Linked DNA regions of Arabidopsis thaliana. The protein of the gene in region 1 interacts with the protein of each later gene in a pairwise test. Each region holds a gene or a part of one and is shown on either strand. Other genes may lie near its edges.

Region 1 (6,135 bases):
AGAATCACAATCTTGAAGGCCATATATAGAGGCTAAATAAGATGGTGGAGCCATCCATTACTGCAGTTCTTTCTTAGCTTACAAACTTATACTAAATCGACTAGTCTTTAACATTATTTTTTTGTTTCTCTTTTTCAATTACCGGTAAGCGATTAGCCATTACGTGGATCATATAGTAACTTATATAATATGATTACATCTTTACTTGATTCAAAATGTCTCTACTACAACAAATTCTATATTTGCAAGCTAAGGATTACAAATTTGATATCAGTTTGTTGCTAAATTTTGAAAACTCAATGTGTTGCTAAATTTTGAAAACTCAGTGTGTTGCTAAATTTTGAAGGTTCAGTGTGTTGCTAAATTTTGAAAACTCAGTGTGTTGCTAGATTTTGAAGGTTCAGTGTGTTGCTAAATTTTGAAAACTCAGTGTGTTGCTAAATTTTGAAGATTCTGCATGACAAAACTTTAAAGATATTTCTGAGAAAACAAAGTGAAACGCTCTGACATTGGATAATTCATTGTGTCTCTTTGTGCAAACCGAATATAGAACTACGACAAGATGACTTCATCACCGTTATGTCTGAATAATAAAGTACTAAAGAGTGTCTAAATGCGTGCGAATTAAAGTATGAGTGCGTCCAAATTATGGGTTTCGTACCAAAGGCCCAATATCAAAGAATGTGTATCTTTTAGTGGGAATAATAAAACGACAAAAAACAAGGATAAATTCACAACAAAAAAATGGAGATGCGGGGTATCGATCCCCGTGCCTCTCGCATGCTAAGCGAGCGCTCTACCATCTGAGCTACATCCCCATTTGCTCTTCTATATGAAATTTGAAGTATATAATATCTCATGTAAGGAGAGAATCATTCTTATGGATTCAAGATGATTTTAGTTTGGTAGGACCTATAGATTCAAGATCGTGTTCATATCTTCACTATCCACTCTTGAATCCCTGATGTCAAGATCCCAATAAATCCATCATTCGGGTATTAAATTTCTACCTAATATTAAAATTTGTTTTTTTTGTTTTGGTATATACTAAAGAAGACCCTTAACGTCACCACATTATCTATCACAGAAAATTGTATTAATATATTCTCTTTGTTTCTATACCAAGCAAAATATTTTACTATTTTACATTATACACTAAATAAGACCCACCATTGTTGATCAAATTGACTATACTTATCTTGAGCCGCCGGATTCAATTATTATAACTCCAACATCAATCTCACTATATATTATACTTGTCTCTATAATTCAACAATTCAAGCTTTATCTCTTTCTTTCTCTCCTCTCTATCTTTCTCTCACACTCATGGGTCTTCCAACAGATTTCAAAGAGCTTCAGATTCCAGGTTACGTACTAAAAACACTTTACGTCATCGGTTTCTTTAGAGACATGGTCGATGCTCTTTGTCCTTACATCGGTCTACCAAGTTTTCTTGACCACAACGAGACCTCTCGATCCGACCCGACCCGACTCGCTCTCTCCACGTCAGCAACTCTTGCCAACGAGTTAATCCCGGTGGTTCGTTTCTCCGATCTTTTAACCGATCCGGAAGATTGCTGCACGGTTTGCTTATCCGATTTTGTATCCGACGATAAGATTAGACAGCTGCCGAAGTGTGGACACGTGTTTCATCATCGTTGTTTAGACCGTTGGATCGTTGACTGTAATAAGATAACGTGCCCGATTTGTCGGAACCGGTTCTTACCGGAGGAAAAGTCCACGCCGTTTGATTGGGGTACTTCAGATTGGTTTAGAGATGAAGTGGAGAGTACCAACTAATAATGATGGTTTTACTTTTACTTTTTACTTTTTTCACGGTAATATTTTTCTACTGTATAATTCTTTCTTCCAAACTACTGTATAATTCAAGTATAAGATTATGTAATTGTGTATATTAGCATCAATCATCTTTCTTTGTTAAAGAACCGTCTGTATAAAATCTTCCAATGTAATCTGCTTTTCTTTTATTTGAATAAAAAAGTGGACAAATAAACACATCAAGTGTTATGGTATATCGCTATGTTAGGAATCTGAATTCATTTTCTTTTGAAGAAAAACAGTATTCATAATCTAATTCGTCTCTACCAAATAGAATTTGTAAACAGTTTTATACCGAAAAATATCTTAAAGAAACTCTTAATTTGTCTATTAAAATCCATGATACTATTTTTATTTGTACTTTATAAATTACAGAATGAATTAATACGTAAACTACCTTAGTCTTTGTCAAAATTGATATAAAGCAATATATTTTATTCAAAAAAAATAATAGTTTAGAAGATATTTCATCCACTATAAATCTATATGTCTTTCGACGAAAAAAACAAATTTTTGCCTTTCATAATATCTATCAAATGAATCTTTTTTATCATATTTAAATTCTTTCTGTTGTACTTTATATAACTACTACAAAATTGACATAGTTTGAATTAAAGCGGATAATCGACTTTTTAACTGATATTATTTGAGTTTTGCTTTGCTAAAATCATATACTATATTTAGGAAGAATTGTTAGAAATGCACATTTTCCATTACCACTTTTCAAAAATGTCATCTCTCTAAAACATTTATCAAAAATATCTTTAAAATCTGAAATATACCTAAATAAGTGTAACTTTATAAGAAAACTTAAACAAACTACTTTTATACGTTTGTAAAACTTTATAAATTTTTGGATGGAGTCTCTGAATAGTCGTTACCATTTTGAAGTAGTATTAAAGAACTTTTTTTTCTTTGAAAAATCCTTTAAACAGTGTTATTAAAATTCCTTGATGTCAATAGTCTTTAAACTGTGTTATTAAAATTCAACCATTCACCGTTTTGCAAAGAAAAGTATATAGAATATGTATTCTCTTTTGTTTTGACATCAATTTGGTTATACTTATCTTCAGCTGCCGGTTTGAATTGTACTCCAAACACAATTATAAATCTCACCATTTTTTATTATACACACTTTATTCTTGTCTCTATAGTTCCACATCTCAATCTAGCTCTCTTCTCTATCTTTCTCTAAATCATGGGTCTTCCTGAAGATTTCATCACCGAGCTTCAGATTCCAAGTTACATATTAAAGATACTTTACGTCATCGGTTTCTTTAGAGACATCGTCGATGCTCTTTGTCCTTACATTGGTCTACCTCGTTTTCTAGACCACAACGAGACCTCTGCACCCGATCTGACCCGACACGCTCTCTCTACGTCAGCGAGTCTTGCTAACGAGTTGATCCCGGTGGTTCGGTTCTCGGATCTTCCGACCGATCCGGAAGATTGTTGTACGGTTTGTTTGTCAGATTTTGAGTCCGACGATAAGGTTAGGCAGCTACCCAAGTGTGGACACGTGTTTCATCATTATTGTTTAGACCGTTGGATCGTTGACTACAACAAGATGAAATGTCCGGTTTGTCGGCACCGGTTCTTACCGAAAGAAAAGTACACGCAATCTGATTGGGGTTCTGGTTCAGATTGGTTTAGTGATGAAGTGGAAAGTACCAACTAATTGGTTTAATCTATGTCGGCAGAATATTTGTTGTATCAATTCCAGTATAACTCTATGTATATTAACATAGATCATCTTTTTGAAGGAACAACACTATATATATCTTTATACAAAAACAACACTATATCTAAGGATGTCAAAATGGATAACCCAACTCAACTTAACTCATAATCAAATGAGTTTAGGGTTAAATGAGTTATGGGTTGACCCAACTCATTTTGTTAAATGGGTTGGGTCAACCCATAACTTATTTAATTTGATGAGTTGAGTTGTTAAATGGGTTAACCTATTTAAATAGTAATTTAATTAATTATTATTATAAAATAATAATAAATAATTATCAATATTAATTCATTATCATCAAACTTAGGATATTTACCGATTCCACTTTTTACGGATTTACGTTTTCGACGAGAAAATCACGGGTTTACGTTTTTGGCGGAAAAATTATGGATTTACGTTTTTGGCAGGAAAATCTCGGGTTTACGTTTTTGGCGGGAAAATCTCGGGTTTACGTTTTTGGCGGAAAAATCACGGGTTTATGTTTTTTTGGTGAAAAAATTACGAGTTTACTTTTTCTCAATTTCATCGTTTGTATATTTAAGAAATTTGGAAAAATATTAATTTTATTAAATTGGTTTAGATGTGTTGATTAAACTTAAATTGACATTGGTTTAGAGATTTTAGTTGGTTTAATTCAATTTTACAAAACTTAATGGGTTAATTGGGTAAACCATTGAAACCATTAACCATTATAACCCAACTCATTTTACTCATCAAACCAATTGACTCATCAACTCATTTGACCCATCAACTCATTTGAGTCAAAATTTTCAACTCATTAAGGTTCATGGGTTGAGTTGAGTTGAGTTGACCTATGAATTTTGACCCATTTTGACACTCCTAACTATATCTATTATCATCAGATCAATGTACCGAGTTATAATTTATTTTAATATATTTTCTTGTTACAAAATTCATTAAACATATGTTTTTTTCTGATGGTTTTTAATACTATATAAACTAAAGAATGATTAAATATGTACAACTAACTAGGTATTAAAAAACGATGTTTTTTAAAAAGAAAATAATAACTAAATCAAAGACTTTTTATTTAAAACTCCATTTTATTTCAAAGATATTACATCTTTTGAAGAAATGTTTTCATTTTTGATATACGAAAAATAATAACAATTTCGGAAACATTTTATTTCGAAAGAAATAAAAATCGAAAATAATAATGATTTTTATTTATTTCATGATTATATTTATCAGTTAAATCTTTTTATCATATTAAAATTACTTCAACGTACTTCATAATATATGAATTTGTCAAAAAAAAAAAAAGTTAATAAAAAATACACATTTCTCATATAGTATATGTACATGGAAAATATGGATTAAAGCAGGATATTCGACCTTTTTACTTTTGTTATTTGTGTTTTGTTTGCTCTGTTTAAAACATATACCATATTTTAATATTTGCTTTGAGTTATTATGTCTATAATTTTTTTGAATAATCAAATCAAATTTAACGAATATTTTGCCATGTCCTACTCCTAGCTACAGAGTGTACCATTTGATAATGATAGGTAACTGATATGGAGTATATACTAAACTAAATTCCTAGTATACAAGAATCTTATTTGTTTTAGTAGGTTTCGTTTTTTTTAATCAGAAAAACCAAAGTTAGGTAAAAGTTTGTCAACAAATCGTGGATCCACGAATACATCGAATATCGTCTACATTCATTTGAAGTAGTGAATGACGCAACCGTTGAAATTGAACAGTCAAGTCAAGTGTACACTTTTGAATCTTCAGTCTTCCAATGTGTGTAAATAAATTTTCAATACTAATGATGATTCTGGGAAGGTTCATGATATGCACGACTTGTCAAAAGCTCTCACATTAAAATATGTAATTCTTTTTGTTTCTTAAAGTATAATTGAAATATGTATGTCTACATCTCCATATGATCAATGCTTTAAACCAAAGAAAATCATGTTTCTGCCAATTTGTGTTTGGAACAAATAAACCTAATGAAAGGTTAATAAAACCAATGTGTTTAGATTTTTTTTTTCCAAGTAAATTAGTATATAAAAAGAATATATTTATGTTATGTGAATAATGAATGCAATCTAAAAAATTACTATTTAAAGTAGGTCTTTTTCTACATTTTTTATATAATTAGATAAGACACGCCTAAATAGTTGGATTGAATATATAAGTTATTGATGGTGTATGAATTCTAAAAAGTAATCTGTATTTTCTTAATATTTAATTTACTAACTTTTTTAAAACCAAATTTTAATCATACATATTTCATATTTCTATACACTTTAACAATCTATTCCATCATAATAAACTTAAATTTAAATCTACATACTTCATCTAATTTATTTGAATTTTAAATACTAAATAGTAACACATACACTTTTTATATTTAATTTAATACTTTTTTGAAAAGACAAATTTCAATCTTACATATTCTATTTTGCAGTACAATTTAACTATCTATTTCATCATAATAAAATGGATTTTAATTCTACACACTTCCTCTTAATGAATAAGTGCTTAATGTTTTATATTAAAATAATATGTATATCACATTAAATCTA
Region 2 (8,213 bases), on another chromosome or scaffold:
TCATGCATATACAAGAGGTTGCATTTGCAAGCTTCAAAAGAGATTACACCAAAAACAATTTCCCCTAAAGGTTAAGATATATCTTTGGCCTTCAATTCGACATTAGGAATTATGTTCAAGATTCAAGATTCAGTACTATTCTAACTTCTTTTGTACTTTATCTATGGATGTCTTGTTTATGATTGTATAAAAAGTTTTGTTTTTTCGGATGGGTGGGCTATTAATATTATAAATCATATAATATGAGTGTTCTGTAAAAAAATAAAAATGATATGAGTGTAAATCGAGAACTTAAAAAATCATGACACACGTTTATATATTAAAGAAAAAACGAATATAAAATATATGGATAAAAGGAGTATAACATTTTCTTCATTACAATAATTAGATTTCTTCAAGTATACGTGTTGGTGCGCGAGAGGTGGTTGTGTGAAGCCGAAGCAAAACTTCTTGCTCGCTAAGCCTCATATAACACAAAAAAAGGGTTCTGTGACACACGTCGATTTATTTTATACAATTGAAATATGCTTACATACGTATACAATTAATTAAATAACACAACATTTGCTTACCTTGAAAATGAAGACATCTTTGAATAGAAATAGACATGCTCATGAATATATATATTAATGTTATATACTATCATATATCAATGTTATATATCATATATATACACACGTAAGGTTAACGAATTAGATATGTCTGTAATGTATACCTTGTGAATGAAGAAACTAATAGAAATGAGTTATATATTCAAAAAGAACAAGAAAAGAAGAAAATAAAATTAAGAACAAGTGAAGAGCACTTCTCCTTTTTTTCTTTGATGTTTTGCATATCGGGTCTTTTTCAAAACCGTTTTCGTCCATGACCGATCAACTAACGTTTCTTCATTTCGTCAAATTAGTTATATACAAAACATACATTTGTTGTTGGTGTATTTTATTTTATTTACCTTACACAATATATGCCGACAAAAAAAATGTGTTTAATTTGAAAAAGAGCCAGGGTTCGGATGTTTTTCTTTTATGTTTTAAAACAAAGCAACACTATATTATAAATATAATATATACAATAAAAATATAATTAAGGAATAGAGATTAAAAAGGAAGAAGTGCAAATGGTTTTTCTTCCCAGAATTGTAAGCAAACCATACAACCATCCCTTTCTCATCATCATCATTCTCCCTTCATCAAGTCTTCTCTCTTTTCTCTCTCTATTATAAAACAAACTTCACTCGTTCACATCAATGGATCCTTGAGAAAGACAAACAAATTGAAGAGAAATAATAACAATTAACTCAACCAAAAATATGAGGAAGCCAGAGGTAGCCATTGCAGCTAGTACTCACCAAGTAAAGAAGATGAAGAAGGGACTTTGGTCTCCTGAGGAAGACTCAAAGCTGATGCAATACATGTTAAGCAATGGACAAGGATGTTGGAGTGATGTTGCGAAAAACGCAGGACTTCAAAGATGTGGCAAAAGCTGCCGTCTTCGTTGGATCAACTATCTTCGTCCTGACCTCAAGCGTGGCGCTTTCTCTCCTCAAGAAGAGGATCTCATCATTCGCTTTCATTCCATCCTCGGCAACAGGTTTACATTTTTACCATCATTTTGGTTTTGACATAATAACAACAACTAAGAGATAGAATAAAATATGGAAACTAGTGGCCGGAAGATAAATATAAATGTTCTGGCAAACTAGCTTTTGTCTGGTGAGTCTTGTTTTTAAACTTGTGTAGCTTAATTTGTTTTCGGTTAATGGGTACAAAGTTAAAGCATAGAAAAGCCAGTCAACTGATTTTAAAAAAAAAGTCCACCCTAAAACGACCAAATTGTCAAATTAGATCTTGATAACGTTTTCACCATATTTTATTTGATTTTTTTTTTCTACCAAATAAATAAGAAGTGCAGAGCTATCTATTTAGAGGTATAATATCTATGTTTGTTTTAAGGACGAGTTTTCAATTATACTATTACATTAATCAGTAAAAAGTAATACTATATATATAAGATACGTTAACATCGTAAAATGTATAATCAAACTTACGTGGAAGGATAAAGTTTGGTCGAGTTTTCATTGGTACGATTAGTAACTGTTTAAATTCAAAGGGAAGAATGATTGTGTACGAAGAAAATTGACCCAAAAGAAAGTTGAATTAGAATAATAGTAGTAAGAATGGAAATAGACGCATAAAACCAAAATAGGTATGAGTACATTCACATGTAATTATGTGAGTGGTCAAAGTTCGTTGATCGTGGGTTTTAAGACTTAGAGTGCGTCTTATGATCTTATCTAACAACAAACACTTATTTTAGTGAAAGCGGCTTTTGTCACTTTACACACCTTTTCTTCTCTTCCTTAGGGTTTTACTTCAACTTTCATCTTTGTAATTATATATTTATTAGTTCCTTTTTTTGTCACTTTCTCCAGAAATATACGTTCTAGTGTTTTTTACGCAGGACATGTTTCCTCTCTATTTATATATATATATATATATATATATATATATATATATATATATATAGATTCAATTCAAAACACGCAGTGTGTATAATGTCATTTTATTGCTTAATATGATTGTGCAATTTTATAATTGTTGATATATTGCCTCTTTTTCACGTACTCAAACATAAAAAACATGAAGAACGGATCACTCTCTAATTCCCATGCAAACCATGCACTGGTATACATTTTACATAACATCATCTCATTAAACTATTCTACTCTCTTATTCTTCGATTTCATAGGTGGTCTCAGATTGCAGCACGATTGCCTGGTCGGACCGATAACGAGATCAAGAATTTCTGGAACTCAACAATAAAGAAAAGGCTAAAGAAGATGTCCGATACCTCCAACTTAATCAACAACTCATCCTCATCACCCAACACAGCAAGCGATTCCTCTTCTAATTCCGCATCTTCTTTGGATATTAAAGACATTATAGGAAGCTTCATGTCCTTACAAGAACAAGGCTTCGTCAACCCTTCCTTGACCCACATACAAACCAACAATCCATTTCCAACGGGAAACATGATCAGCCACCCGTGCAATGACGATTTTACCCCTTATGTAGATGGTATCTATGGAGTAAACGCAGGGGTACAAGGGGAACTCTACTTCCCACCTTTGGAATGTGAAGAAGGTGATTGGTACAATGCAAATATAAACAACCACTTAGACGAGTTGAACACTAATGGATCCGGAAACGCACCTGAGGGTATGAGACCAGTGGAAGAATTTTGGGACCTTGACCAGTTGATGAACACTGAGGTTCCTTCGTTTTACTTCAACTTCAAACAAAGCATATGAATATTTTTACGTCATCTTATTCTTTTTTCTATTGCGGTTTATACTCAAGATTCTTAGCCACACACACATAAATGCAAATATATATACATTGTTAGAGAGTATTTTGTATTTCGAATAATCTTTTCGTACTAGGGCTTGAGCCTTGAGGTGCCATGTAATGATTAGTCAATGTAAAACATATATCCTATAATAAATAAATAAAAGAAATAATAAGCACATACATTCTTTAATATAACAGGGGCAAACACTTGAAGAATTTTGTAATCAAGTAGCAATGGAGAAGATTGAACTAATTAAATGAAAGTTTTTCTGATGTTATATCTTTGGATAAAACTGAACATTTTGTTTTATTGAATGTACTTTAAAACATTTGGTAACTTTCTTAGACATTCACATTAGAAAGTATCCTCTTACATAAAAGAATCATGTATTCAATATTTGATGTCACACCTTACTCTAAACAAACAAATCAAAACTATGAACCATATAACACTCAAAGAAAAAAAAACGAGAGGCCGCTTAAGGGTTTACACTAGATTTAATTCCAAGCGAAGCCATCTCGGCCCATCTTGGACAATGTAATGAAAGCTACTATTCTATTGCCAGTTAATCTTTCATTGGACGATCCACTAGTAAACGCATAGTTTAAGATCTTTCAAAACCAAAAAACAAAGCTAATAAATCAATAGAAAATTTGTTGAGTGAAGGATTTTGCTTTGTATGTTTCGTCGATCTAAAAAGACCAAACCCAAACCCAAAATGGCTTTTCGTAAATATTTCAGCCAATAGGATGAGGTGACTGACCCACCAAAGACGGAGATCTCTATTTCTCACCTCACGATCTCATCTCATCATCACTCTCTCTCACTCTTGTCCGTATATTCCTTTTCTTAATCTCACCGTCCGATTCCAATCCAACGGTCAACATTTATCCAACTCTCTCTTTCCTCTTCTTACTCATTTCCTTCTTCACTTCCCTCTCCTCTTCACACCTCTCTCTCGCCGACGACGCTACAACCATGGCGTCTCTCGCTCTCTCCGGCTCCTGCTCTCTCGCTTTCCCTCTCAAATCTCGATCTCTCTCTCTCCCTCGTCCTCCTTCTTCCTCTCTCAATTTGACGAAACCTCTCCGATCTCTCGATTCTCGCTTCTCCTTACTCAAATCTCCACTTCCCGTCTCTTTACGCCGGAGATCATCAACTCTCGTTAAAGCCTCTTCCACCGTCGCTTCAGCTTCCTCTTCTCCAACTCCTCCTTTGGTTCCAGCTCCGGTTCCATGGCAAGGAGCTGCCATTAAGCCTCTTCTCGCTTCGATCGCTACTGGTTTGATTCTATGGTTCGTTCCAGTCCCCGAAGGTGTCACTCGCAACGCGTGGCAATTACTCGCGATCTTCCTCGCCACCATCGTCGGGATCATCACTCAGCCGCTTCCTCTCGGTGCTGTTGCTCTAATGGGATTAGGAGCTTCCGTTCTCACCAAAACCCTAACGTTCGCCGCCGCGTTCTCCGCTTTCGGAGATCCAATCCCGTGGCTCATCGCTCTTGCCTTCTTCTTCGCTCGCGGTTTCATCAAAACCGGTCTCGGTAACCGTGTAGCTTACCAGTTCGTTAGACTCTTCGGTAGCTCCTCCCTTGGTCTCGGTTACAGTCTCGTCTTCAGTGAAGCTCTTTTAGCTCCGGCGATTCCTTCTGTCTCGGCTCGTGCCGGTGGAATCTTTCTCCCGTTGGTGAAATCTCTCTGTGTTGCTTGTGGGAGTAACGTTGGGGATGGAACAGAGCACCGTCTTGGCTCGTGGTTGATGCTTACTTGTTTCCAGACTTCTGTGATCTCTTCTTCTATGTTCTTGACGGCTATGGCTGCGAATCCTTTGAGTGCTAATTTGGCGTTTAACACGATTAAGCAGACGATTGGATGGACTGATTGGGCTAAAGCTGCGATTGTACCAGGACTTGTGTCTTTGATTGTTGTTCCGTTTCTTTTGTATCTCATCTATCCTCCTACGGTGAAGAGCAGTCCTGATGCTCCTAAGCTGGCTCAGGAAAAGCTTGACAAGATGGGACCTATGTCTAAGAACGAATTGATTATGGCTGCCACTTTATTCCTCACGGTAAGTGTGCTTCTGCTTCATCGGATCTGTTCTTACTTATGGTGAGAGCTTGATTTGAAAGGTGCTTCAGTATTGAACATTGAGAGATTTTAGCTATTGTAGCTCCTTAGATTAAGCTAGGGCTTTGCTTCTGTTTAATGCATTTGCTTTGAGTGAAAATGTTTGTGGTTTTGGTGTTTTATTACAGAGAAGGTTTTCCTTTTCTAAAAAAGTGTTCTCCTTGACACAGGTTGGTCTCTGGATCTTTGGAGCTAAGTTGGGTGTAGATGCTGTGACTGCAGCCATTCTTGGATTATCAGTCCTTCTTGTGACAGGTGTTGTGACATGGAAAGAGTGCTTAGCTGAGTCGGTCGCATGGGACACACTCACCTGGTTCGCTGCTCTCATTGCGATGGCTGGTTATCTTAACAAATATGGTCTCATTGAGTGGTTCAGCCAGACCGTAGTCAAGGTTTGTTAAATGATTTGATGAATGCTTAATAAGCCTAATGACTTAGCATGCTAATGAAATGTTTTGACATTGTTTGGGTTTTGATTGCAGTTTGTGGGAGGATTGGGTTTGTCATGGCAGCTATCTTTTGGAATCCTCGTCCTCTTGTATTTCTACACTCACTACTTCTTTGCTAGTGGAGCTGCCCACATTGGTGCTATGTTCACTGCCTTTTTATCGGTTTCAACCGCTCTAGGCACTCCACCTTACTTTGCAGCCTTGGTTCTTGCGTTCCTTTCCAACCTGATGGGAGGATTGACCCATTATGGTATCGGGTCTGCGCCTATCTTCTACGGAGCTAACTACGTGCCGCTGGCTAAATGGTGGGGCTATGGATTCCTGATTTCAATAGTCAACATTCTCATCTGGCTTGGTGTAGGTGGTGCCTGGTGGAAGTTCATTGGCTTGTGGTGAGGACCACCATACACCAATCTTCCCATTCTTTTCCTTACTTATATATATAATCTCTTAGAACGGCTTTGAGATTCAGATTTGAGAAGGATTGAAATCAGGGTTATAAGGATTGAGCAGAGTTTTTCTGCAATTTTTATTCTCACTCACACACATTTTGAAGTGTAAGCAATCTTAACTTGCGTCAATTTTGTTTGATTTCTAACTTTACTGTTTCAAAGTGAGACCACCACTTTACTTGATAGTTACTCGACTTCCATAAACGTGTTAGTTGAGAGATTAATGTCTATTAGTCTATGAATCGCTGGTTAAAGTTTAGTGGAAAAAACAGGAAAGCAGAGAAAGCAATAGGAAATGAATGAATCTTATTAGCTGAAACAATATGTTATTATTTCTCATACAGTGTTCTTTGACAAATATGAAGGAGATATTAGAAACAATTGACAAACTGAGAGGATACAAAAAATGTAAATCAGAAATCCGGGAAGTAATAGAGGCGCACTTTGGCCATTGTTACAACAGAGATGATACAATAATTAATTTAATGAGGTGATAAAAATAAGAAAGTAAAGAAATTTCAGAAAGAAGCCTGAAAAAACTGAGCCTTTTAGGGTTATTAGAATCGAAAAAAGCTTACCCGGAGTTTGCTTTTGTTTCCGTTTGCTTTCTTGAATAATAAATAAACGAATCATCAGTTTCACAGCTTCACAGAAATGTGAACCTCTCTCTCGCAGCTGAGGCTCAGCGATCTAGGTGCAGCTGTTCAAGCCACGCATCAAGAATGTCGCTCTCACGAGTGTCACTGTTGTGAGGATTCACACTCGAACCACCTTGAGTCAATGGCCTTGCACCATTCATGTTCACAACACGGTTTCCGTTCCTAGGTGATGAAGAGTCTTTTAACATCTGCTGAGCCCATGAAACATCTGCTTCCCTGTTTGGGTTATTAGCCAAGGAATGAGATTTTCTCAACCGACCTAACTCATCTGATTGGACTGACCAATCCACCTTGCTTCCATGGGTCTGGTCCCAACTTGACCATGGACTTAATGGCGAACCAGAATCAGTCGGCATTAAATCACGGGGCAGACTAGATCCAAAATCACGGGAGCTTAGGCTGCGTGAATGTAGCTGCTGTTTCATTCGAGCATTCATTGGGGAAATAGGCTCTCCGCCTCGGGGTGACGAGGCTTGCTGCAGAAGAGAATGTTGCTCCACATTCTTTGGAGAAGACATTAGATTTGTCTTGATAGGAGAAAGCATGCTCTGCTTATTATTCTGCAGCTGATTAAGAAGCGCGGACTTGTGGGAAGGCGATAGAACAGATGAAACAGCAAGTTGATCAGAGAAACGAGGAGATGCAACCTCAGCTGAGAAGAGTTCCTCCAGATTTGAAGGGTTCAGTGTCTTAGGACGAGCGGAATGATTCATAAAGCGTGGACTGTGCATATCGCCAGCAAGCTGACGTTGCATTTCAAACTCATGCAGCATGCTAAGCTGCTCAGAAGGAATATCTCTAGCGTTAAGAGAAGATCTCAGACGACTCAACTGGATATTGCTTCCAGGAAGATTCAACGCCGGTATGTTCTGCTGAGGCCAACCCATCGATGAATGGGGCATACTACCATTTCCAGAAGGAGATATTGGTGGGGTGAACGAATGTTGAGCAGCAGATGGTGAGCCTGGTAACATGTTCAAAACTGACGCCATGTCCATAGTAGAGGCGGAAACAGCAGACGAAGCCCGAGGAGATGGCAATCCAGATCCTGTGGAAGGGTACAAGGGACGCAACTCCTCATTTGCGTGAGCAAAGAAGCAAACCCTTCGGTTGCAACCCATTCCGTCCTTGCACAATCGTGTTCTGTACTGAGCAGGGTGTAGCCAGCATTCAAAA
Region 3 (7,683 bases), on another chromosome or scaffold:
CAAGCGAGCCTCACATTCAGACTTCAGATCATCGCAACAGAATTTGCTGGCTAATTGAAGCAGCTCAAATACAGTTTCCACACGAAACAGATCAACTCTTTTGATTCTACTATATATGTTGAGTGCCAACATTGCCTCAATAGAGATGCCATTTTCCGAGAAATCAATCTCAGAAGTTGTTGATTCCACGAAAGAACCATACAACATGGCCTCAAAAGGACGCGAAAGCGCTGCGATTCTCGACCTAACACACTTAGCCTTCTCTGAACCTACGCAGAAGGAAATATCGCTAACCTCATCTAGACCCGAAAACTCATCAGCCTTAGAGATTTTAACGTCATCACTACCAAATTCATCCTCACATACCGTAGAACATTCACAACCCTCGTCGTCTACATTCAAATCACAACCATGAGTCAAACTAGTCTTCGGACATTCAGAAGCAAGCCCATTACAATCCATAGATTCAACTCCCACAAGTTCATGTTCTCTCCTAAAAAATCTCAACCAAGCAGAGAAAACAACCTTACAAGGGACATCAATGGCGTGCCTCCTAGCGTTGAGAAGGCACCTACGCAAGAGCTTGGCATCACCGAGACTGCGGAGAACAGCGTACTGCTCAAGGTAGAGCATCGATGCCTCGGATTCCGAACTGGACTCGATTCTCCGATATAGATTTGATAATGACTCCACCAAATCGATAGGTTTGAGGTAAGAGTCCAAGGGAGGCTCGAGGAGGTCTGTGGTGGGAAAGCCATGAGGGAGAAGTGAACGAGATTTGGATTTGGGATGCCCAAGGAACTTCATCATTCGAGGGCTACCATTGCTGCTTGTAGAGGGAGAGTCTTGTGTAGTAAAGGCGTGGACTTGAGTGCTTTTAAATCTCTCAAAGAGTTTGAGATTGCGCATTTTGCTATATCACAGAAATCTGAGAAAAGGGTTTGATTTTGAAGTAAAGAGAGAGTGAGGGAGACGGAGAGAGCAAGAGAGAGAGAGAGAGAGAGAGAGAGAGAGAGAGAGAGAGAGAGAGAGAGTTGAAAACACAAGCTCTGTCTCCGGTGACAACACACAGTGCAGAGACAAAAAGGAGAGAGAGAGAGAGAGGAAGAAGAAGACGATGAAGTGTGATTGAGAATATAAATTATTTTTATAAAAAGGTCAATAATTTGGGGAGAAAAAAGAGTAATGGCGTCGATTTTTGCAAACCCAAAAAACATTTATATGGAAAAAAAATGGTCGAATCTCATATCTGTTTTTCTTTCTTTTATGCATTTTTTTGTGGAACAGTTTACGAACTTCAACAGTTGGTGGTTCTTATTGGGTGCGATACGAACCAGACCACTTTCCTTTCTCTTTCCTTTTTGTGTAAAGACCACTTTCCTTTTTTAAAACAATATTTTGTTTCTGTTTTTTTGGTGAGGAAATATTTTGTTTCTTTGTTAAATTGTTATTTTTTTCCATATTTGAAGATATTGGTATGGCTTTTAATTTGTGAAAATTTGGGTTTATTACAGAGTTATATGATGATTAAATATAGTTTAGAGAATTATAGATGGTTGGTTCGTTTCGGGTATAATTAAAATAAGCCTCTCTGACTATCCAACGTCATTGATTCATGTGATGCCAAGATAGGTAGGTTAACTAGTTATGTGGTTTCTTATCGGTTATCTCCTATCTAAACAATTGAGCTTAACATTAAACTTTGAAGATATTAACTTATCTCTCTAATGAACGAAAAAAATTCAGTTTTATTGGTTGATTGGTTATGATTTCAATGACTAACAAAGAAATGGTCTTTAATTTATGTACAGCATGAATTTACTCAATTTATTACATACAACATGATTTCAAAAAATTGCTTAAAATTTTGCAAAACATTTCTTTACTGTGATCACACTAATCATTTGTTAATCTGGTGTCTACTTTTTTACTCGCTAACGTGAGCGTGTATATTTATATTTTCTGAGATCTTCATAGTTTTAGGTTTTTAGCTTGTAGTTAGTTTTTTTTGTTCTCGATATTGGACCAACAACTATCAGGAAACGCATAATTTATTATATATATAAAAAACTCTCATAAAACGTACTGTATTAAAACAATAACAAATAAAAAGTGGAGAGAACTATATCCAGAACCAATTCTGATGTTCTTTTGCCCGCACACCTGGAAAACACATGCAAGTGTACTCTTTAAAGATAAACATATATACCATTTGCGAAATAATTGAGGATTTTTTTTCTTTTGCCAACAGATAAATAATATAAGATTGTTTCAGAAAAAAAATAAAGATGGATAATTGAGGATTAGGTTGGCATTATTTGATGCAAAAAATACTAAAGAAAATCTCACATTGAAATCAATTAAAATAATTTTCTTATGGTATATACAAGTTGATGCAAAATTGATAAAAGATTAAACAAGGCAAGAGACGTGTGGTCATGTGTCTCGGCAACCCATGTGAGGGAATCTGAATCACTTTTTTTTTTTTTTTTTTTATGTTTCTCGAATCTGAGTAGCACAATAATTGAATTGTGTTTCGTAACTAAATTAGGGATTTATTAATCATGAAAAATTATTTGATGAAATCAAATTGTGGTCCGTCTAGTTGACTTATACCAGCCCAAATTATTTAGCGAATATAAAGCCCAAACTAGGCCCACAATAACAAATTATGCGTTTCCTCAAACGAACACCACCATGTCATGAACCATTCTAGCCGAATCCAAATAGAACGAAACTAAAATTGCTTTAATCCATATGTGACCAGATAAAGTAAAACACTCCTTTTGGGGAAATAAATATCCACTTTTCACCATCTTTTTGGTAAACAATAAAACAAACCAAATTTTGTGTGCTTGAGCAACAACAACTACCAACCAGTTACTGTCAAAAAAAATAAATGAAAACGTAATCGAAGAAAAGGTCGTGTTTTCTAGTGTTGCAGAAAATGGCAACTACTAGTACTACTACAAAGCTCTCCGTTCTCTGCTGCTCTTTCATTTCATCTCCTCTCGTTGACTCTCCTCCTTCTCTCGCCTTCTTCTCTCCGATTCCACGATTCCTCACTGTCCGAATCGCGACTAGCTTTAGATCGAGCTCTAGGTTTCCGGCCACCAAAATCCGCAAGTCTTCACTCGCCGCCGTGATGTTTCCGGAAAATTCGGTTTTATCAGATGTCTGCGCGTTTGGAGTCACTAGCATCGTTGCGTTCTCGTGCCTCGGTTTCTGGGGAGAGATTGGCAAACGTGGCATCTTCGACCAGGTTTTCGATCATTCAATTCACTTAATTAAATTATACACGCGTCGATTTGTTGAATAACGTTTTTGGAATGTTGCTCGATTCTGCAATTTCTGGTTAAAGCAACTTTGGATTCAGAGTAATGGTAGTAGTAAGCTTTATCGAGTAATGGATGGCATTAATGGCGAGGATAATAAATCTTATTAGTTCAAGAAATTATAGAATGTGAATGGATACCTATTTTGGGGTGGAAGAACACTGCGATAAACAATGGGAAAGTAACCCCATATCTGGTAAATTAGTGGGAAAATTGCTCAGAACCCAATTTGGGGATGAAATTTTTTTGAAATTCGTGCGGTATAATCACAATCTCATCGTAACTTGAAGATTCAACCATATTTATGATATATATGAATTTTGTAGGTTTAAATGTTGCACAATTTCTTTGCTATACTTTGAAGGATTATTTCTTCGTATGAGTCAGTCTATACACATATTGGACATGGCTTGTTTTTTTTTCCTTTCTCTTATGTGTTTCTCCGCAGTGACTTGTTTTTCTTCAAGTAATTTGGTTAGGAGTAGAGGAATTATCTATGATTAGCAAAAATTCTATTAAACATTTTTGGTTTGGGAATACCTGTATGGCTTCAGCTACTTGATTTTGTTTCTCTGACCTTATCGTGATTAAGATATCATCTCAGAACCCATTGAATTTATAAGATCCACAGGCTGTCTGATGTAGGACTGACTCCACTTTCATGGTTTTATTGAATGAGGCATTGGTTTAACATCTGTGGTTGACATTGGTGTTATTTCTTATTTTTCAGAAACTCATCCGGAAGCTTGTGCATATAAATATTGGGCTAGTTTTTATGCTTTGCTGGCCGCTGTTCAGGTAATAATACGGAGTGAAAGGATCGATTTTGATGTACCAGCTTGCTTTTCTGCTTCACCAGTTTATTTCGATATCAATTGTTTCAGTTCTGGAATCCAAGGAGCACTTTTCGCATCTCTTGTACCTGGACTCAATATAGTAAGGATGCTATTGCTGGGGCTTGGAGTGTACCACGACGAAGGAACAATCAAGTCAATGAGCAGACATGGAGATCGCAGGTAGCTGAATCGAACAAGTGTCTGTCACAATATCCAACAATCTCTTAGCATTCTTGGTATCTATGATCAAAATTCGGTTTGTCTGTTTATTATTGCTTTTGTCACTTCACAAAGTGTCTGTAGTCGCTCTCTGCATCAGGGAACTACTTAAGGGGCCGCTTTACTATGTACTGTCAATCACATCAGCCTGCATCTACTATTGGAAATCATCCCCAATCGCGATTGCGGTGATATGCAACCTTTGCGCAGGAGATGGTAAGTACAGTTAGCTCTGGTTTGATCCAATAACATTAGCAACTTTTGTCTTAGGAATTTGAATCCATTGAATGATGATTCTAATACACACACTTGCTGTTAAAAGGTATGGCTGACATTGTGGGTCGGCGGTTTGGAACAGAGAAGCTTCCTTACAACAAAAACAAATCATTTGCTGGTAGCATTGGAATGGCCACCGCCGGGTTTCTAGCATCTGTTGCGTATATGTACTACTTTGCTTCATTTGGTTACATCGAGGATAGCGGGGGAATGATTCTTCGTTTCCTCGTCATCTCTATAGCATCAGCTCTTGTGGAATCACTCCCAATAAGCACCGACATTGACGACAATCTCACCATTTCCTTAACCTCTGCCTTGGCCGGATTCTTACTCTTCTAATAATACCCTCTCGTTGTTATGTATCATCAAATAAAGGGTCGAGCTTGATTGCTGATATGGAGGTAAAACTGCATTCATTGTTCCCATCTTCTTCTGTATGTACGTATTAGTGAAACATCTCATATTGTTGTTGTCCACAAATCTTATTTTTCAGCTGCAATTGCAGTTGGGTACAATGTTGTAATGTTCTATCCATTAGTGAGACATATGATGACGAACAGTGACGCTTCTACAATTTGTAACAGATACTCTTTTGTAACAGATATTCAATACATGTTTGTTTGTTATTTGGCCTATGGCTATGTGGAAATGGATTGTTTGCTTACAACAGGTGAGGGCTTGAGTGTCCCGCTCCAGGAAGCCTCTTCTGACAGGTCGGACTGGTGACTGTAACGGCGTTTCAGACAAGGAAGCAACACGAGGAACAAGAGGAAGACGGCGAAGCTGATGACAAGAACTACCGTCAAGATCTCACCATGCATGGCGTAGTGTCTGTCTCTAGTGAAAGTAAGTCGTTCGCCATCTTCAGGACTCGAGGCCTCCACCGTAGAAGTTACCATTAGAGAGGTAATCTCAAATATTCTCAAATCTCAACTCCTTTGCTCATACCTACTTCATACTGTCATGCATCATCTTGGAGGGATTTGTGTCTGTTTCTTTTTCCTCTCTGAAATATAAATTTGACTTGGGAGAATATGTATCAAATGAAAACAATATGTCACCACAGAAGAAAAGAAGAGTTTAAATATATTTCTTTGGGATAATTTAGTAGATGGATTTTTGTATAAAGGTTGGTGTAGAAAGTGAGACTGGGACGTTCGTTAGTGATTGCTCTCTACATATGGGGCGTTGGATTGGGTCTTTTTGGATCTTACGTGCGACGTCGTTTTCGTAATTTGAAGAAAATCCTTTTCGTGTGGCTCCCATAACCGACTCCGTGACTTTCCCGGAAATTTCCTCAAGAGAGAAGCGACCTTGTGTCTCATGTTAGTTGCTTCTTCTTCTGCCCTTATTTATATGAATACAAAAATTAATTACTCTTTGATTTGGCCCATTTAAAATTGCTAACTTCTTCACGCATTCTCGAAATAGAAGAAAACGTGGTATGCTTGTATTAATTGAATGGTTCTGAAAGAGACATTTTCAGAAGAAACAAAAAAGCAATTGTGCCAAACTAGAAGAAGAAGCTATAATCGAGGTGTGCTCTACTGAGATTTTGCATGGGTGCTGCAAAAAAAAAAAAGAGATTTGAATGGGCCATGAGATGGGCTTTTAATAAAAAAATCATAACAGAAATTAGATGACGTGGAGTGTCGTTTTCTTTCTATTCGAGGTGACGGTGAGAAGGAAAACCGTGTCGTTTATATGATTAAGTAAAGAAACGCTTGCCGTTTAATATTTTAGCTTGGCCTGGGTGCCGTGGCAAGTCATGATTGGTGGTTTCTTCGCCGATGTAAAATTCAACAGATCGAGAGAGAAAAAACTCTCTCTCCCTCCTCCGTTCACCGTCGCGACTCGGCTCTACAGTGTAAGCTTTCTGATTCTACGGCGATTTCGTTTCTGTATCTATGCTTGTAGACTGGGTTTGTTTTATTGGATGATTTGATTTGGAACCTGAAACAGTAAAGTTGTGAGGAATGAGTAGTAGAGTTTCCTATCACAGAAACTCCAAAACGAATCTGTTAGATAGTGATGATCGACTTTTTTGATTTCTGGAGAAATTCGCTTTTTCTAGGGCTCCTGATGGTGATGGAAATCTCTCTTTACGATTTGGTTTTGATTTTCTCGCAGACATTTTGTTGAGCAATCTCGTATTTAGAGGATTCCAATGTCTGGCGCAGAGGATAATAAATCTTCCCATGCTCAGGTATTTGTTCATTTAGTCTCATCTCATGATGAATTCAATTACTGTTTATATGCTCCACATTCTCGTTCTATGTAAAACTATTAAGATTTCTCCTCCTTGTTAAAGTAACTGCCTAGTGGAAACTAAGTTAGACTTACGTTTCTTTGCTCTTGAACTTTGCTTGCAGCTTTCGTCCCAAATTTTTCTTGATCTTGTGGATTCGGTGATAGCTGATGTAGCATCTGAGTGTCATCGGGTAGCACGACTAGGACTTGATCGTGATTTGGATATAGTAGAAGAAGAGTTGAGATTGTCAGTGGAAGCGCGTGCGAAGATCGCTGATCCTAGCAACAACCTCGAAACCAACACCAAATATGTTGTTGATATATTTGGGCAGACTCACCCTCCTGTAGCTAGTGAAGTGTTCAATTGCATGAACTGTGGGCGACAAATTGTTGCAGGAAGGTTTGCTCCTCATCTCGAAAAATGCATGGGAAAGGTGATCTTATTGCTTGCATGCCTCCTTATCTCTGTCAGATAGTATTCCAGAATGTGTTGTTTCATTGAACCTCTAGTCCTTACTTTTTTTTTTTTTTTGGAAACCACCTAACAGGGAAGAAAGGCTCGTGCCAAGACAACCAGAAGCACAACGGCTGCACAGAACCGGAATGCACGACGCAGCCCCAATCCACGATATTCTCCTTATCCAAATTCTGCTAGTGAGAACCAGTTAGCAAGTGGATCACCTGGTGTTGCAGGTGAAGACTGCTCAAATTTCACAGTTCGAGAGAACGTGAAAGGAGACTGAAGTACAACTGATGAGAGGCTTATA
Region 4 (8,213 bases), on another chromosome or scaffold:
AAAACACGTGTGTACACTGTATACATACGTACACCATAAAACATGTGTTTTTGTGGTCCACGTATATCCAACACGTACATATATTAGTATAACAGTGTTGTTTTCAAAGATTAGAAAAATATCATTATATATTATTGTATAAACCTATTGAAAAGTCTGCTAAATTATAACTTTTTGCAATGCTTCCCATCGTACACCCTTTTTTTCTCTCTTACAAATAAATTTCTTGTTCAGGCCAGTTTGTTGGAATTCTAAATAGAATTGGGCATTGCTTTTTATTTATTTAAATATGTAGACTCCACTTATAAGGAAAAATAACTGGTATTTATGTAGTTGAATTTAAATGAGAAATGAACTGGAAGCATGCAAAAATAAAAATAGAATCCCTAATCCAGAACTATCTTTGTATAATTTTTAAGAACATCAGTTTCTTGGTCTGAAGTCCATATTAATTTTCTTACATGCATGTGCAGCCAGGTTCTTTTTGGTCTGCAATGCCATGAAGTCTTCCTTGAATTGTTATTTTTTTTTTAGTTTAAAGTAATGTATATTTGTGTGCATTAAAAAAAGAAGAAGCAAATGTTTAGTGTGAACACTGTACTACAAAATAATTTGGAGTTGGGATCTTTCAAGTCAAAACCTAATTGAAAAGGAAGAAAACACTGGTTATATCTATGACTTTATTTTGGGTCGGCTTAATAACGGAGTTTAGGACTTTATAATGTATACGATTCATCTTGCACAACAATCTACACGTATGAAAACTATAATTTTAAATACTAAGTATTCATCTAGATATTCTGCTTATCAGGAAGATTTGTTTATCTTTTTTTTTTTTGTTTATCTTGAACTCAAATAAAGACTTAAGAGGATATGAGAATCAATTTAGTGAAACAAATGTTGTGTAGATAAGATCCTGGGTCCACAGCTTTGTCAACAACAATGACTTGTCATCGTCTATGCCTAGCAAGTATTATAATAGATTATAGACAATTATGAGCGAATAAAAATCACTCAGTGAAACATACTATTGAATAATTTAGAGGAATCTTTCGAGAATTCGAAAGAGGACACAACATGTTTAGCTGGACGATCTTCTAAGGTTTCACCTATCGGATCATATATTACGAAAAAGTGAGAGTAATTATTAATTATGAGCTCCAACAAACAAGAGCAACTCAAATCAAAACTTCTGGACTAGACGCAGTAATTAATTAGAAAGAAAAAGACACGACAATTAAAGAGAAAGTTATTCTAGAAATTATTGGAACAGGAAAGCTTCCTCTATATATTTGCGATGGAAACAGAAAAAAACAATGAAACAAAAACATAGCCAAATGTTTTTACCACATGATTTTACCAAAGCTTATTAGATCTTGGTTCTTAGACTGGCGAGAAACTGAGAGAGATCGGTGGAGGAAAAAGGGATGAAATATATAGAAGTTGGATTTTGCTTCAATTAGGGTTTTGATTTGATGATTTTTTTTTACTGAAACAGAAACTGAACGGTGTTTCTAACTGTGAATTAGGATGGTGTTAAGATGGCAAATATTATATGTAAAAACTCTAGCGTAAATATCCAATGAGATAGCTAGTTAGATATTGTTTTGGCAAATGCTAGGTGTTTTTTTGGTATCATTTCCCCTAAGCATGTGTGTGTTTAGGTTTTTGATTAAAACTAGCAAATTCTGTGGACTGCAATACTCATCATATATGCCAAACTTCGAAATCACATCAATAATAACCTCAATAAATGTGAAGTAACTAAAGTGGACCCTTTGCCTCTTGTCTTTACATATGTAATCATCCATTTATGAACGGAATCTTATGAAATTTATGAACCGATAAGTAATTAATTATTTATTTTAATTTATAGTCTTTTTTCTACCCCATTGGTAATTTTGGAAACCAAATATCCAAAGCAACCTCTATCGCTTTACCCCCACCCCCATGCAGGTATACGTACAAATGTGCAATTTGGTCGGTCAACTGGGTCTTAGTCAGTAGCCAAATGTCTCCAACATTAAATTGTAAGAGAAGATGGCAATATGCATTCATATTGTAACAAACGTATATGTCCTCTAGACGGGCGTGATCTACCTTTAAGATTAGTTCAAAAGCATAAAGTCGACTGATAGCACAAAATGATGTCTTGCCAAATGTGTATTTCGGGTAGTTCGATGTTTTTGGGATCGGCAAAAGTTATTTGAGAAGACATTCATATATATATATATTTTTGATTTACGGGAGTAGGGTAAACATAGAACAATACACTTTATAGATATTTATATATACAAGAGAAATGTGTTTTTAATTAGGATTAGCTGGGAAAAAGAGAGGCTGGCTCTAGATCTTTTATACAGACACCTACCGACTTATAATTATTATCACTGCACATGCATGTGGATCATATATATTAAAAGTAAATTACATGCATAACTTACATTAAAACTAATTATTCATTATTCTTGTTTAGTTTTTGATACTTATAAAATTTTAAATTCTTTATCCATAAAACTAGAATTTTTTTAGAAATATACCATTTTTACTATGTGTATATATATATATATATATATATATATTTTAAAATTGACCATATGTGTTGTCCATTTTCAATTATACATATTTCAAAAATAATATATTTAATGTCTGTGACGGCTTATAGTGGTTGAATAATCATTCATATTTATAAAATCTTATAATTCATTTAGAAAATCTTGTATTTAAATTTTTTTTTTATAAAAAATCTTATATATCGTTATACATAATTGAAAATATACAATATATGCGGTTATTTAAAAAACATATTACTTGGATATTTTTGAAATTCCCCCATAAAAGAAGGGATTTTTTTTGAAATAGCTACAAAGAACATAAATTAGAAAGTATGTTGACTTTATTCGTAAATTATAAATGCTAGTAGATTTTAGAGAGAAAAAAAAAACGAAACCTAGTTTTTCTTTTACGCAACCGAAACCTAAAATTATTAAATTGATAGGTTTGACATATATAATATAATAATTCGATCGAAAAATTTGACTACAGAAATCTGAAATCATAAACTTGGTGTAATGTAAACATACATATCTCATTAAACAAAAAACTAATATATAAAATAATTGACTTTTGAAACAATATATTGACTTACTAGTGTAAAAATGGGCCTACCTAAATCCAGCTAACTCAGCCCACACATTAAAAAGAAACGTTAAAGGGAAAGTAATAAATGAAAATGAGTCACTCAGAGACAGATGTCTCTATCTTTCACAGCCAAATTCACACCATTCTTTATTTTCATTTTTCCCCCTTTGCCCAGATTCCGACAAAATCCACTCGTTTGATTCCACCACTATATATAATTGAGCGGAGAAGCTTGACATGAAGAGCAGAGTCATTCTTAACCATAGAGACAGAAGAGATAAGAATCATAACAACAACAACACCAATCATTACACACAGGTTGATACTATGGAGAGAAAGCCTCTTGAGGTTGAGCCATCTACTACGACGACTAACACCGATGTGGTCGATTCTTTCGAGGAAGAGCAGAGAAAAATCGTTTATAGAGGATGGAAAGTCATGCCTTTTATCATTGGTAACGCTCCTTTTTACTTGTTTGTGTCTAATTCAGACATCATTTTTTTCTTTTGGGGTGCTTTGTCGGATTTTAGGGAAGTGTAACATTTTGTCCGTGATGTTTTTAAATTTCGTTTCTTTTCTCTTCTCTTTGACTTGACTCTGTCAAAAATCTCGAATTTGGAGTTCTTTCTCTGAGATTTCGAAGTGAAATTGGTTTTAAAACTGAGATTTCGTTGAAACAATGAAACCCAGATAATCTTACAGATCTGTCTAATGGAAATTATATTTTTTACAATTGTTTTCATTTTATTTTCAAAGAGACTTTTGAAATCTTTAACACAAAAAACAGAGACTTTAAATCATGCAGTTAAGTTTCTGAAAAAAGTAGATAAGATTTTTGTGAATTTCTGGATAAGACAAAATTAGTTTATGGGAGTTACAAAACAGTTATAAAGTTTCATGTGAACCAAAGTCAGAACATTGGAAGTCCAAACTTTGATTTGTGTGTTTCCTTGTACATTAAATGTAAAAAAAAAACTGTAACTGTATTCTTAATTTCTTATCATTAATTTGCTATTGTAGGTAATGAGACATTTGAGAAGCTTGGGATCATAGGGACATTATCAAACCTTCTTGTGTACCTAACTTCTGTATTCAACCTTAAGAGCTACACAGCTGCAACTATCATCAATGCCTTTAGTGGTACAATCAATTTCGGGACTTTTATTGCTGCCTTTCTTTGCGACACTTACTTTGGTCGCTACAAGACTCTCAGTGTCGCTGTCATCGCTTGTTTTCTGGTACTACTTTTATATATAATCTTTCATGACTCCGGTTTCGTTTTCGCCAATGTTTTCTAAACCATTTTTCATCTCTGTAGGGATCGTTTGTGATACTACTTACTGCTGCAATTCCGTCGTTGCACCCCGTTGCTTGCGGAAACAAAATCTCGTGCGAAGGGCCAAGTGTGGGACAGATACTGTTTCTGCTCATGGGTTTAGGCTTTCTTGTGGTAGGCGCTGGTGGTATCAGACCGTGTAATTTAGCGTTTGGTGCTGATCAGTTCAACCCCAAATCCGAATCAGGAAAGAAAGGGATCAACAGTTTCTTCAACTGGTATTTCTTCACTTTCACGTTCGCGCAGATCATCTCGCTCACAGCAGTTGTGTATATCCAGTCAAATGTGAGTTGGACAATCGGTTTGATCATTCCGGTGGCTCTTATGTTCTTGGCGTGTGTGATTTTCTTTGCTGGCGATAGATTGTATGTAAAAGTGAAAGCCTCGGGTAGTCCATTGGCTGGTATTGCTCGTGTTATAGCAGCCGCGATCAAGAAACGAGGTTTGAAGCCGGTTAAGCAGCCTTGGGTCAATCTTTACAACCATATCCCGTCTAACTATGCAAATACTACTCTAAAATACACCGACCAGTTCAGGTAAATTGATATCTACTTATTCTTGGTTCTCTTGCTTTATGTTTCTGGCTTTTGTTTTGCTGAAAAATGTTTGTTTATTATGTTGCCAGATTTCTAGACAAAGCAGCAATTATGACCCCCGAGGAGAAGTTGAACTCCGATGGAACGGCTTCCGATCCATGGAAACTATGCACGTTGCAGCAAGTGGAAGAAGTGAAATGCATTGTAAGAGTGATTCCAATCTGGTTTGCATCCACGATATACTACCTTGCAATAACTATACAAATGACTTATCCGGTCTTCCAAGCGCTCCAGAGCGACCGACGATTAGGTTCTGGTGGCTTCAGGATTCCTGCGGCCACCTATGTAGTGTTCTTGATGACTGGCATGACAGTTTTCATCATATTCTACGACCGTGTACTTGTCCCGTCGCTCAGAAGAGTGACCGGGTTAGAAACCGGTATATCACTCTTACAAAGAATCGGAGCTGGGTTTACATTTGCGATAATGAGTTTATTAGTTTCCGGGTTTATAGAGGAAAGGAGAAGAAACTTTGCATTGACCAAACCGACACTCGGGATGGCGCCTCGGACAGGAGAAATCTCATCAATGTCAGCGTTGTGGCTGATTCCGCAGCTTACACTTGCAGGCATAGCAGAAGCTTTTGCTGCCATTGGACAAATGGAGTTTTACTACAAGCAGTTTCCTGAAAACATGAAGAGCTTCGCGGGTTCTATCTTTTATGTCGGTGCAGGGGTTTCGAGCTACCTCGCTAGCTTCTTGATATCAACTGTTCATCGAACAACCGCGCATTCACCTTCAGGGAATTGGTTAGCTGAGGATCTGAACAAAGCGAAATTGGATTACTTCTACTTCATGCTCACAGGACTCATGGTTGTTAACATGGCTTACTTCTTGTTGATGGCTAGATGGTATAGATACAAAGGAGGTAATGATGAAGACATCACTGAGATTGAGACCAATGAAGAAGAAACCAAGCAACAGCAGCTACAAGACAAGAACTCTGTCTGATCTGGAAACTTATATATTTTTGGTATTCTACTTCAATCTCCGTAGTTTTTCTTCACCCGAAATCAACCTTGTTGTACTTTTATAGATTAATTGAAGAAGAAAATCACTTCATCTTTGTAGACATGTATTGTAAAATAAGTTTTTTGTTGCTAATTTCAACCTCCGTACGAAGTTTCTGTTTCTTCTTTCATCACCACAACAGAACAGAACATAACAAACCGCTAAAAGAAGGCTACGAGGATTCGATATTTATATGCAATATGTATGTATTAACTACAGACACAACCTTCATGACCCAACTGAAATCAGCTTGCACTCACTTTCTCAGACAGTGTAAGCTTGTTGAATGGTTTCTATGTCGAGTCCTTTGAGTCTCACCACTGATTCAACATGGCCCTTGAGCGTGTGAAGTTCACGCAACCTATAAAGAAGAGAGCAGTAGACAGAGAGAAGACGATGAAAAAATGTTCTTTTGTTATGTTCAAAAAGCTGGAGAAGATTTGGCTTTGAGTTACTTTACCTAGCAATTTCAGCTCTCCTCTTGGCTTCTTCAGCCATTTGGTTAAGTTCACTGACATGGGTTCGATCTGTGAACATCTTAGTATCTGGTGCTTGTAGACCATGGAGCGTTCTTTGTGCGTGAGCCCATTGCAGCTCTCTTTGTTCTTTCCCAAAATCTTTTTGCCTTGTGAACGCAACCTATGAAAATGCAAGAAACCCGATAAGAAACTTTAATGTATAAAGTGGCACAAAAGCTATTTGTGTTCCTAATAACATACCCTTTGTTCGATAACAAGATCCCAGGCTCTGCCACTAAGAGCGTAGCGGATGAAGAATTTGATGAAATCAAGGGGGATGTAGAATATGATGTTATAGAGCCAAATGACCCCGGCCCATCCCCAACCTATTCCTTCTATCGCAGCAAAGCTCCAATTTGCATAGACTGCAATTAGAGTAGCCACCTGTTTTGGAAGCAAAACAAAAATTCATATAATTAGACCCAAAGCTCATAACTTTTGAGGTTCTCATTGTGTACTGATCACACAGTTAACAAACTTCCGGAATTACCAACTGAGCGAGGATAAAGGCAATCATAAGAAATATCCCGGGACGTTCCACAAAAGACCAGCTTCGCGATCGGGTCACAAAGATAAGTGCCTGACTGATAATACTGACTTGCAGGTATATGGCTGAGGCAAGCTTTCGGAAATCATCATGAGCAGTTTTCTCAAGTGTCGCAACTCCAAAAGTTCTCTGAAGTTTCAAGTAAGAAAAGCTGAGATTAGCTGTTAGTGAAAGAATTAACAAAGCAAATAAAACCAACGAGATAAACACAAGTGACGGAGAGGAGAGAAAATGTACCGGGAAGAAATCGGTTTTGTATGAAACCCAGAAAAATATAACGGTCATCATGGCCATGTAACTGCCAAAGACAACACCGGTAGCAAAAATCTCAGAAAGCTTCCAGCTATCTGGAAGAGGGGAAGGTTTCACCCTGTCCTTTGATATTGTCATGATCGTACCTAAACGTCAATTCCACAAGAGTTCATTGGTATATCAGAGTCTAGAGGAACTAATAGAAAACTCTGAAAGTCTAATTATGATCGAGAAAAAGAGGAAATAAGAAATGAACCATCATTAAGAATGGCAATGATAAGGACCATGAAAGGTGGGAAGTCAAACTGCCATATGAGAGCCAGAAGCATAAAGCCCAGCTGAATCGGTAAAAGTGTACAAAGCAGTCAGAATATTAGTGGTAACAGTAAAAGAGAAATGAGTAGGAAAACCCAAAAAACTGAATCGTAACATACAACAATACGGATTGTGATGGAGACTGCGTAGATCTGTCCAGTAAAACATGAAAACCAACAAAAGTTAAAAGGAAATTGTCATGAGGCCTCAATGATTTGAGATTTCAAAGAAATATGGCACTCACAGTATAATTTTTCATTCTCTGGAAGATAGCACGACTGGTCAAAACAGCACTGATGATAACGCTAAGACCAGGTTCAGTAAGAACAATATCCGATGCGCTACGAGCTGCATCAGTGGCATCAGCAACTGCAATGCCTATGTCAGCCTTTTTAAGAGCAGGAGCATCATTTACACCATCACCCGTCATTCCACATATATGTTTCCTGGCTTGTAATCGCTTCACTATCTCATATTTATGCTCTGCAGAAAACCCT

What was found.
Region 2: the proteins of RHA1A (region 1) and DiT1 interact in a protein complementation assay, tested with the Arabidopsis thaliana proteins (one large-scale study listed by BioGRID).
Region 3: the proteins of RHA1A (region 1) and FOLK interact in a protein complementation assay, tested with the Arabidopsis thaliana proteins (one large-scale study listed by BioGRID).
Region 4: the proteins of RHA1A (region 1) and GTR1 interact in a protein complementation assay, tested with the Arabidopsis thaliana proteins (one large-scale study listed by BioGRID).

Annotation. Positions count from the first base shown.
Region 1 is NC_003075.7:6,904,740-6,910,874, forward strand, and holds RHA1A (RING-H2 finger A1A), read left to right. Parts: upstream 1-2,748; 5' UTR 2,749-3,037; coding exon 3,038-3,517; 3' UTR 3,518-3,703; downstream 3,704-6,135. Other genes in the region: RHA1B (RING-H2 finger A1B), read left to right, coding at 1,327-1,800. UniProt on the Arabidopsis thaliana protein: Probable E3 ubiquitin-protein ligase that may possess E3 ubiquitin ligase activity in vitro.
Region 2 is NC_003076.8:4,058,036-4,066,248, reverse strand, and holds DiT1 (dicarboxylate transporter 1), read left to right. Parts: upstream 1-3,959; 5' UTR 3,960-4,329; coding exon 4,330-5,418; intron 5,419-5,647; coding exon 5,648-5,869; intron 5,870-5,959; coding exon 5,960-6,322; 3' UTR 6,323-6,398; coding exon of another isoform or gene 6,399-6,399; 3' UTR 6,400-6,670; downstream 6,671-8,213. Other genes in the region: MYB46 (myb domain protein 46), read left to right, coding at 1,310-1,590, 2,749-3,310; AT5G12850 (CCCH-type zinc finger protein with ARM repeat domain-containing protein), read right to left, coding at 7,061-8,213. UniProt on the Arabidopsis thaliana protein: 2-oxoglutarate/malate translocator involved with DIT2-1 in primary ammonia assimilation and in the re-assimilation of ammonia generated by the photorespiratory pathway.
Region 3 is NC_003076.8:23,667,566-23,675,248, forward strand, and holds FOLK (Phosphatidate cytidylyltransferase family protein), read left to right. Parts: upstream 1-2,701; 5' UTR 2,702-2,947; coding exon 2,948-3,262; intron 3,263-4,065; coding exon 4,066-4,133; intron 4,134-4,219; coding exon 4,220-4,351; intron 4,352-4,490; coding exon 4,491-4,606; intron 4,607-4,712; coding exon 4,713-5,005; 3' UTR 5,006-5,304; downstream 5,305-7,683. Other genes in the region: EOL2 (ETO1-like 2), read right to left, coding at 1-909; AT5G58570 (uncharacterized protein), read right to left, coding at 5,305-5,565; AT5G58575 (SAGA-associated factor-like protein), read left to right, coding at 6,834-6,872, 7,039-7,350, 7,465-7,659. UniProt on the Arabidopsis thaliana protein: Kinase involved in negative regulation of abscisic acid (ABA) signaling. Substrate preference is farnesol > geraniol > geranylgeraniol, but has no activity with farnesyl phosphate. Can use CTP > ATP > GTP = UTP as phosphoryl donor.
Region 4 is NC_003074.8:17,695,937-17,704,149, reverse strand, and holds GTR1 (Major facilitator superfamily protein), read left to right. Parts: upstream 1-3,226; 5' UTR 3,227-3,378; coding exon 3,379-3,595; intron 3,596-4,161; coding exon 4,162-4,379; intron 4,380-4,459; coding exon 4,460-5,013; intron 5,014-5,102; coding exon 5,103-6,024; 3' UTR 6,025-6,208; downstream 6,209-8,213. Other genes in the region: HA4 (H[+]-ATPase 4), read right to left, coding at 6,349-6,445, 6,545-6,723, 6,804-6,986, 7,093-7,278, 7,387-7,547, 7,658-7,739, 7,836-7,868, 7,961-8,199.